Linked DNA regions of Saccharomyces cerevisiae S288C. The protein of the gene in region 3 interacts with the protein of the main gene of each other region in a biochemical or structural test. Each region holds a gene or a part of one and is shown on either strand. Other genes may lie near its edges.

Region 1 (10,600 bases), on a different chromosome or scaffold from region 3:
GCAAAAATGACTGTCATTATAATGAAGAGTACGACAAATACGATTGCAGCCGCTTTACTTGGCGTATAGTGGTAAAGTACGAACCCCGAATCAGTTGTGGACATTTTGGAACGTTGATGGACAATAAAAGATTAAGTAGCTATGTAATTGGACACTATTAACCTACTATCCTGGACATTTTGAGGCAAGAGACTATACATCCCACAATTGATTCGGTAGGTGCTTTTATACTGATTCATTTGAGGTCTTGGCATTTGTTCAATTGAAGTACATTTAGTTGAAAAGTTGAGATTTATTTAGGATGAGCTTGCCGCGGCATGGGGAAAGAAACACTTCATCCTGTATGGAGAAAAACCACTTTGCCGCGGCACATCAAAACAGGGCTGAAACCTTCAGTATGCGCGATACCATTACACGACAATCGCATGGCTTAGTCATAATAGATCGAGGCGCTCATATACATGGCAGCCACAATATTTGAAGGTCGACAAATAAGGACAATATCAACGGTTAGGATACCGAAACTTGAATATGGCTGGTTTCTCAGGAACAGCCGATACTGTCCTGATCTTAACTTAAGGTGCGGTGAAGTAACCTGGATTCAACGCTGCATGAAAGACCTGATTAGGCTTATTTGATAATCCAACAAAAAAAGTGATTGGTTGGTTTGCTAGTATTCAAAAATAACTATTTTGGAGTACTTTGTTTGTTTGAAAGGCTGGGTAATAATTTTTTTGATGTGTGCTTTGAACAGTAAAAACTTTCTTCCTTTCTATAAGCTAGAAGCAAATCCAAATCTCATCGAATAAGCGCATTAGGTTAACGACATTATTGTTGTTTAAATTTTAAGCTTTTTAGCTTTTTATATTTTATTGAGATGGCAGCAAAAAGAGGATTAGCCAAACAAAAATCTAGGGTAACCAAGGCCTGTGATAGATGCCATAGGAAAAAGATTAAGTGCAACAGTAAGAAGCCATGTTTTGGGTGTATTGGGTCTCAATCAAAATGTACGTATAGAAATCAATTTCGTGAACCGATTGAGGCTTTTTTCAATTATACTGGTAGTCTCAGTAATGATTTGGATAATGCTAAGTGCAGCATAGCAAAATTGAAGGCACAGTTACCTCCAAGCGCACCGGCCTCTTTACAGAAAGGCCTAGCAAACATTTGCACTGAGCTTGAAAAAATACAACCTCAGCTTTACCTCAATCTGGACAGTAAGGAAATTAGCTCGTATGGTGGCCTGAAATCGATAGAAACAGAAATTATCGGGAAACAGTCAAAATCTTTGAATAGGTTCTCCAACGCTTTTGAAAGCAATACTGCACAAAATGTCAGTATGTACTTTGGGGTCTATTCACCGTTGCTATATTTTGCCTCTACGGGTATTAGCTGGATAACTAAAAAATTGATTTCATGTTCGAATGATAGGGAGACGAGAGAAACTATCTATTTATTTTTGAAGTTTCTTGACGCTAGCTCTGCTAGCCATGCTGGTCCTAAAGTAACTTCGATATCTCCTTTAGAGTATTATTCAAAGCTAAACGGACTTTCATGTGGGAACGACGTACTTATTCAACACATTATGTCAAATATATCGAATGAAATCAAAGGAAATACAAACATTAACCAAACAATCAAATTCAATAAACCAACAGACTGGTTTATGTACGGAGTACAATTGATGGAACAGCACCACAAGGCGTTGGATCGTAAAAGTTCCAAAAAATTACTTCCTTTGAAATATTTTCTTGAGCAAGATGAGTTGATTTTTTGTCTCTGTCTTGAATATTTTGAAAGATCCCTATTTTCGACAATGTACGACTTGACTATTTTAAAGGGCTTAGTCTCGTTGATGAAACACAGATATTGGATAGACGATCCTTTTGTGCTGGGAAGAATTATTTCCACGATGTCCAGGCGAAGTTTGGATGCTGGTTTGAATCGTTGGGAATATTATATTGGTCAGGATGAGGACACTGCCGAAGAATATCGTAAGTTATGGTGGGACTGCTACTGGTGGGATAGATGGTATTCATTGGTCACCGGTAAGCAGCCATTGATACCACATGAAATGACTTCGTGTCTCTTTCCCAAGGATGTGGTTGGATTAGGGGTAGATGATTCGATGGACTGTTTTACTTTAATAAACTTGGTGGAGCTCGACCCAAGTAAGTTTGATATTTGTATCTCTTTCGGCTATATTCTATTAACGAAAATTATTACAGCGGTATTCTCTGGTTTGCTTTATAATCGACACTTTACAGACTACAGATTATTTGCAACTCCTAACGCTAAAGACCTAAATGGAACCGCACGACAGCTTATGGTAGAGTTTTCAAAAATATGTAAAATTTTTCAGTGCATACAAGACAAACTAATCCCTTTCCTCAAACAATATTCTGAAAATAGTAATGTATTTGAACTATACACCCATTTCGGATTTGCAAAGGTTTGTTGTTTTCAGGGAATGGAGAGTTTAATTTTAAGGATACAAAATCTTCTACAAGAAAGAGAGAGAATTGAACTTGATTCCTGCGTAAAGGACATCAGGCTTCAAACCTTTGAAGCATCTGTAGATATTTTGACGGATGTTCTCAAGCACGAAGATACGTTCTATATTTTCCGTTGTTCGTGGTTCATATATGCCATCTTGATGAATATTACCTTGAATTTTATCGAGACCCCTAGAAGGAACTCGATATGTTATTTATCCTTGATGTGCCGCATGATAGCCTCATATAATGACTTATTTGTGAGCTCTGGCAATGTTAATTTCAAGGGCAACAACGCCTTCTCTAAAAAGTTGGAAAATGGAACAGCGGTTTCTTTCATCCTAACACGCATCTGCTGTCAGATGTACACACGTTCACAGAAAATGGCTAAGGAATCGCTGTTTTGTGAATTGAAAAAATATGGCCAGGCTTGCTCAGATGCTGGTCAAGCTGCGTTGGACATTGAATGTATCTGGTACAGGAATATTATAGGCGAACACAAAGAATCAAGCTTCCGTAAAGAAATTCTCAGCATTCTTGATAGGGAAATGGGTGATTTGGTGAATAATAGAGTTATTGGCGTACAGGGAAAAAATCAAGAAGGTGCTTGTTATGAGAAGTTGTCACCCAGCAGCACCAGTGTTTCAGTTGGCATGGACTTTTGTAGCCTCGAAAATTTTGTGACTGCAGAATCTCTACCAGACCTTCTCAATCTATTTTGGGAGGACACTGAATTTGGTATTACTAAAGAAAACCTCGGAGAGTAAAAACCAAGTATGCACCTAAACAATTGATCACTTTCAATTAGGAAATAAAATCCCTTGATTTAGACGAATACTGTAGAATGCAATAAAAGGTTTTGTGATTCTAATCTAGTCCCTTACGTTATGCACCGCTTTCAGGAAGGTTATGGGCTGTACCATGAAATCAAAGGTGGCTCATAACTAGTAAGTAAAAGTAAATGTCCTTTTTTTATGCAAGATCTAGAACGATTCGAGTATGGTGTTGATACCACTGTGGTAAGTCTTTCAAGCTACACGCAATTACACACACTCACAAATCTAGTTGTATTTACTCCTTTTATTGTTGCTAGTCTAATTATTCGTCCCACGATTTTATCGTTCTTTGAGTATTTCGGGTCTCAAAAGATTGCTAAATGAAATAACTCTTAAAAATTGCTTCACATAGTCTTGTTGTTACATTCACAATTCACAGCTTTCCGTTGCTCATCGCTTGATAGGAATATATTATGATAGGGATTATCCTGAAAGTTTCAGCAAAACGATAATTACTTCAGCTTTTCTTCGTCTATTTAACCTAGTTTTCCGTCATAAATCCGTTCTCTTAAAAGCACACCTACTCCACTTTCTGAAATAACATAGATATTGAATTTGACTTAGATTCATATATTAGAAAAATCGAATAGTTTCCTGTGCCTAGAAATTCTAAGGTGCCATTCCAGAGGATTTTTATGACAAAGATGAGATGTAAGAATCAACTTTTTTTAATATTTTATATCTTTCATCAAAGAAACATCACAATGTATATTACAAAGTGGAGAAGCATCCAAAATATAGCTGCAGTGAGAATTCATTGAACTGTATCAACTGGGTGGAAAATGTCACAGTCACTTATGGAATTCTATGATTTTATTCAATAGAAAACATTTAGTAAAGCTGGTAACCGACCTTTTTTTTTTACACATTTTTTTTTTTTTTGCTGATTATACCTTGCATTCTAACACCGGGTTCTGATGTTATCACCTACTTTGTATCTCGCATCATTCTTTATTTGGTAGACACGTCCCAAAATGGAGGATGCGCACTAACGAAAATGAAGGATAATGCAGTGAGAATGATAATTTTGATATTGATAGGATCAATTGAAAGCATATCACATGTTTTTTGTGAAATGTTGTATAAGAGATAGCGCTCTTGTTGGGTTTCGATAGGGGGAATGTGGAGTATCTGATGTAACACTGTAGTCTTATTTCTTGTCATAAAGAGGGACTGATTGGGGTGAGGCATATTATATTATAGGAAAAATTGCAGAATATCTAGGTAGTAGTCGCTTCAATAAATTTTTTTCCGACACAAGAATAATGAGACAAATCGGACTATATTTGACGATTAAATAAACCCAAAGCACCCCTATGCTATATGGGGGAACTTTAGAGTAAACAAGGTTGAAATACGTCAATTTGTAATTTCATAAAATACGTGAGGTCTTTTTGTGAGAGATACTTGCCCATTTAGATTTTTGTCCATATCGTGATAATTTTTTTGAGTTTTAATTAATGTGCTCCACCATCACAGAGTGTGTACCAGTGCAACCCACTCAGGGATATGCTTTAAGTCATATATTCTCGCTCTATGGGAACCATAAGCTGGACACATTTCTTGAGGTTATTTAGTAGCGAAAAATGGCGCAATGTTACTCTTTCACTTCTATTATATGGGGCTACAATGCCAATAAGGATTAATGGGTAGCGATTGTGGTTTCTTACCTTTGTGTAGTTGCGTAGGCTTTTTAGTGTATCAGTGAGCAAATTTAGTCCAAAAAGATCGCCAGCGAAGACTGTCGTATCTGGATCATTCGTAGTATCGATAGCTTAGCGATATTCTCGAGGATGTAAAGACAGCAGATTGGAGTTCTGATAATTTTTCATTACTTTTCAGTGAGAGAGTGCCTTTCTCGTTTTATATCTCAATCCTACCCGTAGAACTGGTCTGCTATTCTCATTTATCATTTTATTTCAAAAAAACCTTCAGGAGACAAACTGATTCCATCAAAGGCCTGTTTGCTATCTAGGACAATATTCGAGCTTAGTAAGTCACTTCCTGAAAACCATTCTGCTTGCGAGCCCGAAGCTTTGTGGCAATCAGTCTTCCACATCTGTTTGCAAGGGTGTTTTATTTCATGTCGTGAGAGATTTGTGATTAAAGCTGTTTTTATTAATCAGTTAGCAGCTTCATTCTCTTGAAGGATATATATAATTTTCTCAGATTTCTTCCGAATAATATTTAATCATTGAAATGGCAAAAATAAAAATTACTGTCAGCTACGCTATCTTTATATAGCTACAAAAAATTAATGGCCACTAAGCAATTACTGAGACGTCAAATCAAAAGGGTAATAAATGCTCTTGACTACGATATTATCGCTGCAGAGTCGCATACTATTTCTCAAGCAGTACGCTCATTGATCGCTTCCGCCAATTCTAGGCGTGTAGCGTGTTATATGAGCATGGATAAAGGAGAAGTAACGACTGGAGAAATCATTAAGAATTTATTTCAAGATGGCCAGGAGGTCTTTCTGCCAAGATGTACTCATACTTCTGAATCGAAACACTTCAAATTACGGGAAGATCATCATCCACATTTAATATTCCATCGAATGAGTAGTTTGAAAATGGTTCGTGATTTGAAGCCTCAAGGTCCATATCAACTAAAAGAGCCTGAACCGCATATTGAGGAATCAGATATTCTAGATGTCGTATTGGTGCCTGGAGTGGCGTTTGATATTAAAACTGGTGCAAGGATGGGTCACGGTGCTGGGTATTATGACGATTTTTTCCAACGGTATAAGATACTGCATGAAGGCCAAAAGCCCCTCCTAGTTGGACTATGTCTTATGGAACAGGTGGCCTCTCCAATTCCTTTAGAAAAACATGATTATTCCATGGATTGTATAGTATGCGGAGATGGATCCATACATTGGTTTCAATAATTTCATATATGTATTATTTACATGGTACAGCTATTGTATAAATAAATAAATAAATAAATAAGTAGACGGCAAATCTATTTTTCTTCTTTTGGATTCCCTTGTTCGCTAGAAAACGTGGCATTAGCTTTGACCAATGTCCTGTTGCCACTTTGGTCCATAAGTTCAGCCTTTAATTTAGTTTTGTTACCGTATTGCTGAAGATCGGTGGTTCTTACTACAACAAATTGATTAGCTAACGTGGGGAACTTGTACGAGATACTCAAATTCTTGGTTTCTTGGTTTATATTTTTTGTTCCTTTTTCGAGTCTAATGGCCTCCTTCATTAAATCTTCAATAACTGTTGCTAAAATGCCTCCGTGAATTAAGAAAGGATAACCAGTAAGTTTCATTCCTAAATGGTATAGCCCGACAGTTTCACGCCTACTGGGGTTGTAGTAAACTCTTGGTGGTATAGCGACGCCACCTGGTGTATTTAATGCCCTTGACACTAACAAGTTCTCCTCTTCATTAGCAATCACTTGTACAAAACCAGCATTCTCCAACTGTTTTACTATGGGTAGGCCATTTAAACGTCTATTCAGATCAGCGTGATATTTGACGACTTCATCTGCGTTCTTGGGTAGGGCATCATATCTCCAATAAGCTAGTAAGTCCGTGAACGTCATATGCTGTGTCAAGTACCACCCTCCAAGAAAACTTCCCCCAAAAATTGTCCATGGAATCCATCTTCTTTTGGGTTTAGAGGCTGTCTTGAAAACAACGCCATTTGTATACGTTCTTATCTGGGCTATTGCGATTCTTTTAAACATCTTGGCCTTGCTGGTACGGTCTCTTTCTCTTCCTTACTTTTCTTAGTTTCTTTATAAACTCTTTGTGCACTTTGTGAGTTTGTTCCTTTTCTGCCAAGGGGTATGCCTCATCGAAAATTAATCAATCTTTAAATAAGGTATTATGTTAAATAAATGAAATGTAAAATGTGTCGCTAATGGAGTACTTAGAGACATTTTTGGAAATCAGTTTTGTGAAATATTAGAAAGAATTCCTTTTGTTTATTTGCTCAGAGTACAACATCTCAAGACTTTTATTCCTGTTGCAAACCAATGTTCACGTACGGTGACCCAAAATGATGGCAGTCATAATCAAATCTAATGGAAGTTGAAATCAAGAAACGATAATGTAATAGGATTGTAAATTACAACTTACAAAGCAAAAGAAGTAATAATAATATGCTATTTAGAATTGCCGATTCTCTTTTATTGATTCCTGTATCTTTTGAGGAGAACTTCTAGTATATGTCTAATGTCGTTTTACTAGAAATGGGACCCCTGAAAATCGTCAGCAACTTTCAACTGAATCTGAGAATGATGCTCAAGTCGTCATTTTATCTTGCAGAAGCTAAGTGCAGGAGTTGATAATACAGCAGAATTAAAAGTGACAACGCAAGAAACAAAAACAAATGCAATCTCAATATTATGTGAAATTGATGATTTCGTAGCGAATCATGCGCACTGTGGGAGAAGCCTGGGTATAATTATGTATGCTAATACTGTTACGTTTATCTGAGGTTTGTGTGAATTTTGTGATAATTATCGGGATTCCATTGTTGATAGAGGCTTCAATACTATGTATACAGAACATACTAGAACTTCTCCTCAAGGGTATAGGGATCCTCAAATTTAATCGGTATTTGCATACAATAATATTACGATTATTTTTCCTATCGTTTTATATGCTTCATTTTCCCATTACATTATCAATTCTTGCATTTCAGCTTCCATTAAACTTGCTAACTCTTTCTCAAGCTTCATTTCATCTTCCTAGATCTCATATGATACTATACCAGCAGCAAGAATGCTACTAAATGGATGATATTCTAGAGTTTCATTTCATCATCTACACGAAGGGATGGGGGCATCTGAAGTATTTGAAACGTTGCTATGATTTCATAATTTATGCAGGTTTAACACAGATTACAGGTCTCTTGGCCCAGTTGGTTAAGGCACCGTGCTAATAACGCGGGGATCAGCGGTTCGATCCCGCTAGAGACCAATTTTTTTGAAAATCGTAAAAAGGCCCAAAAGGGAGAGCACAGCACGTTCTGCTTAAAAAAATAAAAAATGATGTCTTCAATAAAACATCTTAAGGACCAGTTTGTAGATCTGCGAAGTTGTTGACTAGATAAATTATAATAGCAAACAAACAAATAGGACAATGTCAGCGGAGAACATTAGTACTGGCTCGCCGACGGGCAAGCAGCCATCCTCTGAAGTTAATCTTGGCGAAAGAGAAGCTGGAACAAAAAATGAGAGGATGATGCGCCAAACCAAACTTCTGAAGGATACATTAGACTTGTTGTGGAATAAAACCTTAGAGCAGCAAGAGGTGTGTGAGCAACTAAAGCAAGAAAATGATTATCTAGAAGATTACATTGGCAATTTGATGAGATCCAGTAATGTGTTGGAAAAATAACTTTTCAACGTAGGTTTCTGTTTTAAATAGGTAGATCAGTCAAACGGATGCGTCGCATAAATGGCTGATAAATTTTTCCACTACTCGTTTTCTCTTTTTCTGAGTTTCTATATTTTGCGCCTGTTTTACAAAGAAACCAGTATGGTTTGATCCCATGGGCGATGCCACAAAGAAGCTATAGAGAAAAAATGTTAAAATATTCGAAAAAGCTTCGAAAGATTTTATTGCGGTCACTCATGATCATAAAAAAAACCCTTCTCGCATTTGTAACATTGTATTTTAGTTTCTACTTCTTGTAGCAGGCCCTGAAGTATAGATTCTCAGACACAGTGACAAAATGGATGTCGATGAGAGGTTGCATCAAGATGAAAATCAAACCCACCCTTTTTCGCAAAAGAAGTCAAGCAGTTTCTTGATAAAGGAAAAAGCTGCTACAAAATCCAAGGATCTTGAACATATAAGGCTTCGTGACCTAAATTTCAATCATAGAAAAAAGCTAGATGACAAAAAATTGGCAAAGCAAATCCCAGTTAAGGCAAATTTCAAGAAGCCTAACGAAATTGAAGCTCGCGCTAACCTAAATTCAAATGAATTAACAGATATCAACCTTGACTATATACCGGATTCCCCATCTATAGAGAAAATATCAGGGCCTGAGGATTCTATTGTTGTAACGCCAAGAAATATCATACATTTACAATCTGATTCAGATATTATTCTCGAGGAATGCGAGCATAATTATGACTGTAGCCCTTTTTACCGTCTGTTCAACTACGAAAATAGAATTGAGCCCGATGACTACGAGGCTATTATAAACGCTATAATAACTGACGAAATTGCTGGCACATATCCGGTTTTCGAACGGGAATTAGAGTACCAAGAACTGAAAAGTCTTGTCAGAAAGCGAGATTATATTATGTATTATTTCTTGTCAAGGGATTATCGGGGGTTTTTTCAGTTGAAAGAGGAACGTACTTTATTTTATAGGTACCCTTCAATTGCGTACACTAGCCCGTTGAGGTATCTGGATAATGGATCTGAAACCGAGCAGTTTACCGGGGATGATGATGAGGAGCTCCAATCATTTGATTTTGAAAACACATCATCTGTGAGGACTTTAGATAGTAATATATGGCGTTAGGTAATGCTCAATTTTATATACGCATATGCACCATAGTAATTTAATATTTTTTTTCCGAATTACAACAATTATATTATAATATTCCTTTCTTTTGGAGCTGCTAAAACAAAGAATCATAACAAGATATTAATAATATTAGTAACACAAAGTAAAAGAAAAGTTTAATAAAGGAGCAATGTCATCTTCATTAAAAAAGTATACAAAAACTAGTCACTTGAATCGGTAATACCTTTTTCACCAATTACGTAGACACATTCTTTTTCAGGCATATCTGGGGAATCTTGTAACTTGGCAACTCTTTCGTCACCACGCCCTTTTCTCAACAAAATCCTTGTTGCTGACGCATGTGCCAGAACGTGCCCTCCAATTGGTTTCCTACCATCTGCCGAGGCAAATAATGCAGAAGCACCTGGGTCTGATTGAACTTGGTTTGTCAGAAATACTGCAACATTAAATTCCTCTGCCAATCTATTCAATTTGAAAAGATGTTGATTTAGCTTTTGCTGTCTTTCGCTTAGTTCACCTCTACCGCAGTAGTCTACTCTGAAGTTTGCCATTATAGAATCTACCACGATAAGGCGATAATCTCCAGAACTAAGTTCTTCACCCAATTGTTCAACAAGTTCCATTTGATGTTCACTATTCAAGGCTCTAGCATATGAAACGTTTGCCAAACATGACTCGGGATCCAATTCATAACCTTCTGCAATTTGCTTAATCCTCTCGGGCCTGAAAGTGCCTTCTGTATCAATATATGCTACTTTCC
Region 2 (3,495 bases), on a different chromosome or scaffold from region 3:
CGGTTTTAGTTTGTTACCATAAGGTAGTAGAATCAGCAGCTGATCGGGAGGAATCTTCCATTTCCTAGCAATGAACTGTTTAAATTTGTCCAGGGAAACGAAAAAATCAACATTCGTAGTTATACATTCTCCAGATATTGCATTTATGATAGTGGCTGTTGTCTGCAGTGGTGTTATTTCTTGCTGGGTAGGTGCAGTGCTATATTCATCAGCGTCTGCCATGATGTATAAAAGAAAATAAAAGAAGTACTTTCCGAACAACAACAGTACACTAAAATAATCGTTGTTCAAAGGAGGACTACTTTGGTTCTGATTTGAGAAAATGGTACTCAAATAAGGGCATCGCTATTATATAGTTCCATTCCTACCAAGAAACCGGGTAGCCAAAAGCGATAAAAAGGCTCTCCATGGCAAGCCTTATTAAAAATAATAATCATGAAGAACAAAGTTTCACAAGAGATTACAAGATAAAAAAGCCACTACTACAGAAAAGGCGTTGGGTCAGGACATGGAAATAGTGTACAAGCCATTGGACATACGTAACGAAGAGCAGTTTGCTAGTATTAAAAAACTAATAGATGCGGATCTATCAGAGCCGTACTCGATATACGTATATAGGTATTTCTTGAACCAATGGCCCGAGTTAACGTACATTGCCGTTGACAACAAGAGTGGAACGCCTAACATACCCATTGGTTGCATAGTGTGTAAGATGGACCCGCATAGAAACGTGAGACTGAGAGGATATATAGGAATGCTAGCCGTAGAGTCCACATACCGCGGGCATGGCATAGCAAAGAAACTAGTGGAAATTGCCATAGATAAAATGCAAAGGGAACATTGCGATGAGATCATGTTAGAAACAGAGGTGGAAAATTCGGCGGCTCTAAACTTATATGAAGGAATGGGTTTCATCAGAATGAAACGGATGTTCCGCTACTACTTGAATGAAGGGGACGCCTTTAAACTGATATTGCCGTTGACTGAAAAGAGCTGCACTCGGTCTACGTTCCTAATGCATGGCCGGCTGGCCACATAAAAGGAAAAACACTCGATGATGATAAAATATATATTAATAATACAATTTTTTTATTTATTTATTTAATCATATGTATAGATATAGAAAAAGGGCAGTAGAGAAAAGAGGAATAGAAAGGAGAGAGATAATAAAGCAAGTTTCAAAAAGAACAAGAGGAAAAGAAATTAAATCACACAGACAAAAACGCGGGGAGGAAGTATCCCTAAGCCAAAGTGGCGTTATATAACTCCTTTTCGGATTCATATCTCTTCTTATCGGCCTGGGCCTTGGCCTCGTAAGGCTGCTTTTCCTCTGGCGTTAGAGCCTTCCACTTCTCACCCAACTTCTTGCCGACTTGTCCAAATGTGATATCTGGATTTTCAGAACGAACAATATCTCTGTTTTCGTTAGCGAAAAACATGTAGGCGGACAAAGCCCTCTTAGGGGCATTTGGGTCCTTCTTCTTTCTAGTGGTTCTCTTCTTAGGTTCTCTTGGGGTGACCATTGCGACTGTGCTTTACTATGTATAGGGTAGTCAATTGAGCAAAAACAGGAAAAAAACACGTCCCAAAACAGTCCTTCTTTAACAGTCGGTACCAGTAATAAATACTGTGTTGTTTGTTTGCCCACCGCTAAATAAACGAACGGCGAAAAAAATAGGCGGCAAAAGGCGGGTGATTCGAAAAGTATCGCGCGCGACGAGGCGTGAGGGTAGAATTCGGCGCCACTAATTTGTGACACTTGAACAGTATTTAACGTCGTGCGATACATCATATCGATAGAAATGTAGACGTGCTCAACGCTCCAAGAATGAATTGCACACTTACAGATAATACCAGAGCCATAAATGTGGCCTCCAACCTCGGTGCTCCTCAACAGAGGACGATTTTTGCCAAGGAGAGAATATCCATCCCAGGATACTACGAGATAATCCAATTCCTGGGCAAGGGAGCCTATGGGACAGTGTGCTCAGTGAAGTTTAAGGGTCGAAGCCCAGCTGCTAGGATAGCGGTAAAGAAGATCAGCAACATCTTTAATAAGGAGATCCTTTTGAAAAGGGCCATCCGTGAGCTAAAATTCATGAACTTCTTCAAGGGCCATAAAAATATTGTAAATCTAATCGATCTAGAGATAGTGACCAGCTCGCCCTATGACGGACTGTATTGCTACCAGGAACTGATTGATTATGATTTGGCAAAAGTCATACATTCGTCCGTGCAGCTCTCGGAGTTTCATATCAAATACTTTCTTTACCAAATCCTGTGTGGGCTAAAGTACATACACAGTGCAGATGTCATCCACCGAGATTTGAAGCCTGGGAACATATTGTGCACATTGAATGGCTGTTTGAAGATCTGCGATTTTGGTCTCGCTAGGGGTATTCATGCCGGATTTTTCAAGTGTCATTCCACTGTGCAGCCCCATATAACCAACTACGTTGCTACAAGATGGTATAGGGCGCCTGAGCTGCTTCTTTCCAACCAACCGTATAGTAAGTCCGTAGACATATGGGCTGTAGGGTGCATTCTTGCAGAATTCTATGCTCGAAAGCCTGTTTTCATGGGGCGTGACTCCATGCACCAGATATTTGAAATCATCAAAGTCTTGGGTACTCCTGATAAAGATATTCTGATCAAGTTTGGCACCATTAAAGCTTGGAATCTAGGCAAAAACAGTAATAACCCTGTATATAAAAAAATCCCATGGTCCAACATTTTCCCCTTTGCCTCGCATGAAGCAATCAATCTCATAGAGTCATTACTTCATTGGGACTCAACACATAGGTTAAACGTGGAACAAGCTATATCACATCCGTTCCTAAACGAGGTGCGGAAGCCAGACGACGAGCCTGTTTGCCTTCAGGGTCCTTTCGACTTCACCTATGAATCCGAGTTGAATTCAATGTCCAAATTAAGAGACTACTTGGTTGAAGAAGTGAAAAATTTCAAAACCGATTTGTCCTCCTCGTCTTTATAGTAACCACTACACAAATAGGTATATCATGAAGTTATATTCTGACCGTAACAATTCTTCTTTCTTTGACGTAAACTTTATGGCGGGTAACGCTCAAATAGTTTCTTGTTAACCATTTCAAATAACAATAAGTATACAACTAAACAAAGTCTGCTACTTGTTAAATATAGGAGTATAAACAAGATAAGCTTGCTACTTTTTCAGCACAACCGCCACCTCTCGATTGCATACAATGGATTACCTAAAACCAGCGCAGAAGGGGAGAAGACGTGGTCTTTCCATAAACAGTCTTTCGGAGACTCAGCAATCTGCTATGAATAGTTCCCTGGACCATCTTCAGAATGACTTAAACAGGATAAATCTTCAATGGAATAGAATACTGTCGGATAACACTAATCCCTTAGAACTAGCGCTCGCATTTTTGGATGATACATCTGTAGGTCTGGGCCACCGGTATGAAGAATTCAATCAATTAAAGTCACAAATTGGTAGTCACTTACAAG
Region 3 (3,361 bases):
ATTGTCGAAGAGAAAGAAGATCTTGCTCTTCAACCAACAAAGCAGAGATGCCAACGCTCTTGTGAATAACCTGTACTCATCTGTTTCGCCAGAAATAACGTTCGATGATGTGATATTTACTACTAATGTCACTTGGAAATCAGGCTCATACAGCGCTGACCTCGTTTCCATGAACACTTCTCAAGAAGATGTAGAAAAATTGAAAGTCCAGGAGTCATTAGTCAAGAATTGGAACAAAATAGACGATAATCGTGCTAAAACGCATGTAACGGCTAGTATAGAGGAAGCAAATGAATTGATTGAAACGCTATACGATGAACCTGCTGATATATTTGTAACTGGTTCATTACATCTTGTTGGCGGATTATTGGTCGTTTTTGATAGAATAGATGTAAAGTAATTTGAAAGTAACTTGCACTTTAAAAATCGTACATAATGGACTTCATTTGCATTTATTTATTTGTTGAAGAGTAATTTAGTTATCAACTTAAAAATTCGTACTACAAGTCAATGCAAGGCTGGTCTGTAATATCTTTCCCGTACCATATTGTCCATGTTTTAAAATATTTATTATATAGATATGAGCCCTTTTGTTCGTATTCTTCCATAGCTCTCATAGCACTGGAAATATCGTAAAAGAATATAGATACGCATAATTTTCTTGATACAATAGGCGTAATTTCTAGAACCTCTCCAAAATTCTGAAAATCTTTTTCTAATTCTTGAATATCAATGTTTTCTAAAGTTTGCCCTTTATTCAGATTTGATTTGTTAGGCATTGCTGTTGTCGAGCTTTTTTTCACTATCAAACATCTTGATATGAACTTTTCCTCTTCTATTATTCTGTTGACAGATTGCTCTTTCATTATGTTTTCATATGTGCTCTCGAGGAATATCCATTCTGGTTTTAATTGAACTCCATTAACTTTAAAAATATTTGTTTTTGCGTATCTCATAAAAGATTGAGCTCCCTCGTAATTTAAGAAGAAAAGATCAACTTTATGCAAAGAACGTTCCGGAGTATCGTACCTATAGACAATAATTCTTTCTAAGGAACCTCCGCGTACTTGAGACAATACACTAGAGATGCCTGTGCCGCGCGGTATATCGTTTAATGAAATTGATCTTGTTTTGAGAAGAGCGGGATTCTGAGAACCTGCCGTTTTCTCATCAACAACCTCTGATTCTTCTGAATATACTTTTCCCTTGAAAATTAAATCCTGATTAACGTATTCTCCATTCTCATAAAATTTGTTGACGGCTGCTTCTGTTTGCTTATTACTGTCATCATCTATGGGAAAAAAACAACCCTGTGAATGGTGCTGCCTTTTCCAAAGCTGTTGATCGTTTTTATCTTCTTTTTTTAAACGTCTTTTGTTTACATTTGCCCCAACTGGTGTATATGAATCTGTACCACATGAACCTATCTCACGACCAAACAGATATGCTTTTGCAAATCGTCTAAAACCTATGAATTCGTTTCCATTCGAACTAGACGAGTCATTGAAAAATGAAAAAAAAGATGATCTTCTCGATCTCAAAGCTTTCTTCCTCAAACTTCCAGAGTCTTTATGCTTTTTATAAACTTCTGTGTTTGAATAATAGTTCTTGTACATTTGACCGGATTAAATGCTTCGTATTTTATTATTATTTTACCTTCGTTGGATTCCCGACTTCAATACGCGAGAATATATCTGTCTTTTTGTTTATAAAATATTGATAGCTACAGTATAATAATTTTCCTCTATTAGGTCCTTCTTGTTGAGAAACGTGGTTGTATCCTTTGATAAGATATATCTAGAAGGTGTTGTTTATATTTAAAAAGGCTTTATCTTTGTGTGCGATGCGCAGATACATATTTACCGACGCCTGAAGTGACACGACACGGACACAACAATAGTGTATGAGGGAAAGAGCTTCCGACAAAAAAAGTAAACTAATATACATGAATATTGCACCTCGTATAACCTTAGATATTCTCCTTAACATCACACATGTCGCCACGGCGAGAAGTCTCAAGCTTCATGAGTTCACGTAATGCCATGGTGGCATATGCGGAGGTTCCTAATTGAAATTTTAACACCACCGCAGTCTTCTCACCGCCTTTATCTGGCATATATCTGTCCAACTTGGCTTTCATATACTTCTGGCCGCTTTCTTTTGCTCTGGTGTTATTCAGGATGTCCAAATCAGTGTTCACCAATTGTTGAGAAGGATCATCATAGTGAATTATTCTATACTCTAAACTCTTTGGCTTTTGAATAACAGTTCTATAAGAGCCAGCCAATGAAAAATCGCGAACTTTTCTTCTCATATTAAATGGGTCCATATTATCTGCTTTCAATATATCCACATACAGTTGCTTCAATTCTTCGTTGGAAGGATAAAGCACATCAAAACCCGGCGATGGTAACACGACATCTTCCATGGTATACTTAACTGAGTCGATATCCTCTTGAGTTACTGCTTTTGCACGAATGAACTGAGCTTCACGGACATCTTCATCAAAGTCTTCATCGTCAATCCCAGAAATTAGTGGTGACTTTTCACTAGTATCAATGACAAGGTCACCTACAACTAACTTCAAACCATGTAGTTCTATCCGCTTACTAGCAATAGAATTCCAGACGTAACTTTGGTAGGCATGTACATACATAGTTCTCAAATTTCTGGGAATTTTCATAATAGCAGTATAATAAGCGTTCTCAGAATAAGTTCCATCTTCTTCTTTTCTTTGATTAGATAAAGAATATAGTAACGCATTTTCTGCGAGACACTGTCTTGGCATCTGCTTCAATGCTAAAGCCGCGTCCTTAGTTTCTGCCCAAATCTTCCTAGCTTCCTTAGATTTAGGAAGCACGTTATCCTGGTCAGATAAAATCAACTCAGCAGCCTTCTTCCAGTTTGAAAGGAGCAATTCTCTACCAATTGTGTGCGTAGAAATACTGAATGTACCGAATCTCTGCATACCAAAATAATTGATAAACCCATTTTCTGATAAAGACTTACAGCCGTTAGACACAATTTCTTCCAGTGATACCTCACTATTGCCGGTGGTAACATCTCTAATAACAACAACGAACTCATTTCCCTTCAAGTCTCCCAGATTCAAACTTGCATCCGAAAAATTGTAATTTCCGATAATCATTCCTTTTAAAGTCCTATTTAAAGCATTTAGTCTATCCAAACCAATCTTTGAAATCGAAACCCTTTGGCACGTTACTGCTCTACGATCCTTAGTACCTGCATATCTAATTACACGGCTTGGAACTCTTAACAACTTTGTTATAACATTGACAGCTTCCATAGTATCCTTATTTTCTTTATGTAGAGTGAAGTGAATAAAATCTTTACTGGGACC

What was found.
Region 1: the proteins of SSP2 (region 3) and ISC10 form a complex in vitro, tested with the Saccharomyces cerevisiae proteins (one study listed by BioGRID).
Region 2: the proteins of SSP2 (region 3) and SMK1 form a complex in vitro, tested with the Saccharomyces cerevisiae proteins (6 studies listed by BioGRID, with this or other methods).

The regions. Positions count from the first base shown.
Region 1 is NC_001137.3:548,958-559,557, reverse strand, and holds ISC10 (Isc10p), read left to right. Parts: upstream 1-9,030; coding exon 9,031-9,834; downstream 9,835-10,600. Other genes in the region: PUG1 (Pug1p), read right to left, coding at 1-104; TOG1 (Tog1p), read left to right, coding at 878-3,262; FAU1 (5-formyltetrahydrofolate cyclo-ligase), read left to right, coding at 5,589-6,224; FMP10 (Fmp10p), read right to left, coding at 6,299-7,033; YER181C (uncharacterized protein), read left to right, coding at 7,762-8,085; SLO1 (Slo1p), read left to right, coding at 8,436-8,693; recombinase DMC1, read right to left, coding at 10,041-10,600. UniProt on the Saccharomyces cerevisiae protein: Indispensable for spore formation.
Region 2 is NC_001148.4:664,452-667,946, forward strand, and holds SMK1 (mitogen-activated protein kinase SMK1), read left to right. Parts: upstream 1-1,828; coding exon 1,829-2,995; downstream 2,996-3,495. Other genes in the region: autophagy protein ATG11, read right to left, coding at 1-222; peptide alpha-N-acetyltransferase MAK3, read left to right, coding at 509-1,039; NHP6A (high-mobility group nucleosome-binding protein), read right to left, coding at 1,242-1,523; YPR053C (uncharacterized protein), read right to left, coding at 1,337-1,792; exocyst subunit SEC8, read left to right, coding at 3,225-3,495. UniProt on the Saccharomyces cerevisiae protein: Required for spore wall assembly. Required for proper deposition of the two outer layers of the spore wall, the chitosan and dityrosine layers. Negatively regulates GSC2, an alternate catalytic subunit of the 1,3-beta-glucan synthase (GS).
Region 3 is NC_001147.6:788,242-791,602, forward strand, and holds SSP2 (Ssp2p), read right to left. Parts: upstream 1,617-3,361; coding exon 501-1,616; downstream 1-500. Other genes in the region: MET7 (tetrahydrofolate synthase), read left to right, coding at 1-400; pseudouridine synthase PUS7, read right to left, coding at 1,970-3,361. UniProt on the Saccharomyces cerevisiae protein: Essential for sporulation and seems to have a role at the time of, or after, initiation of nuclear division. Appears to have a role in outer spore wall formation.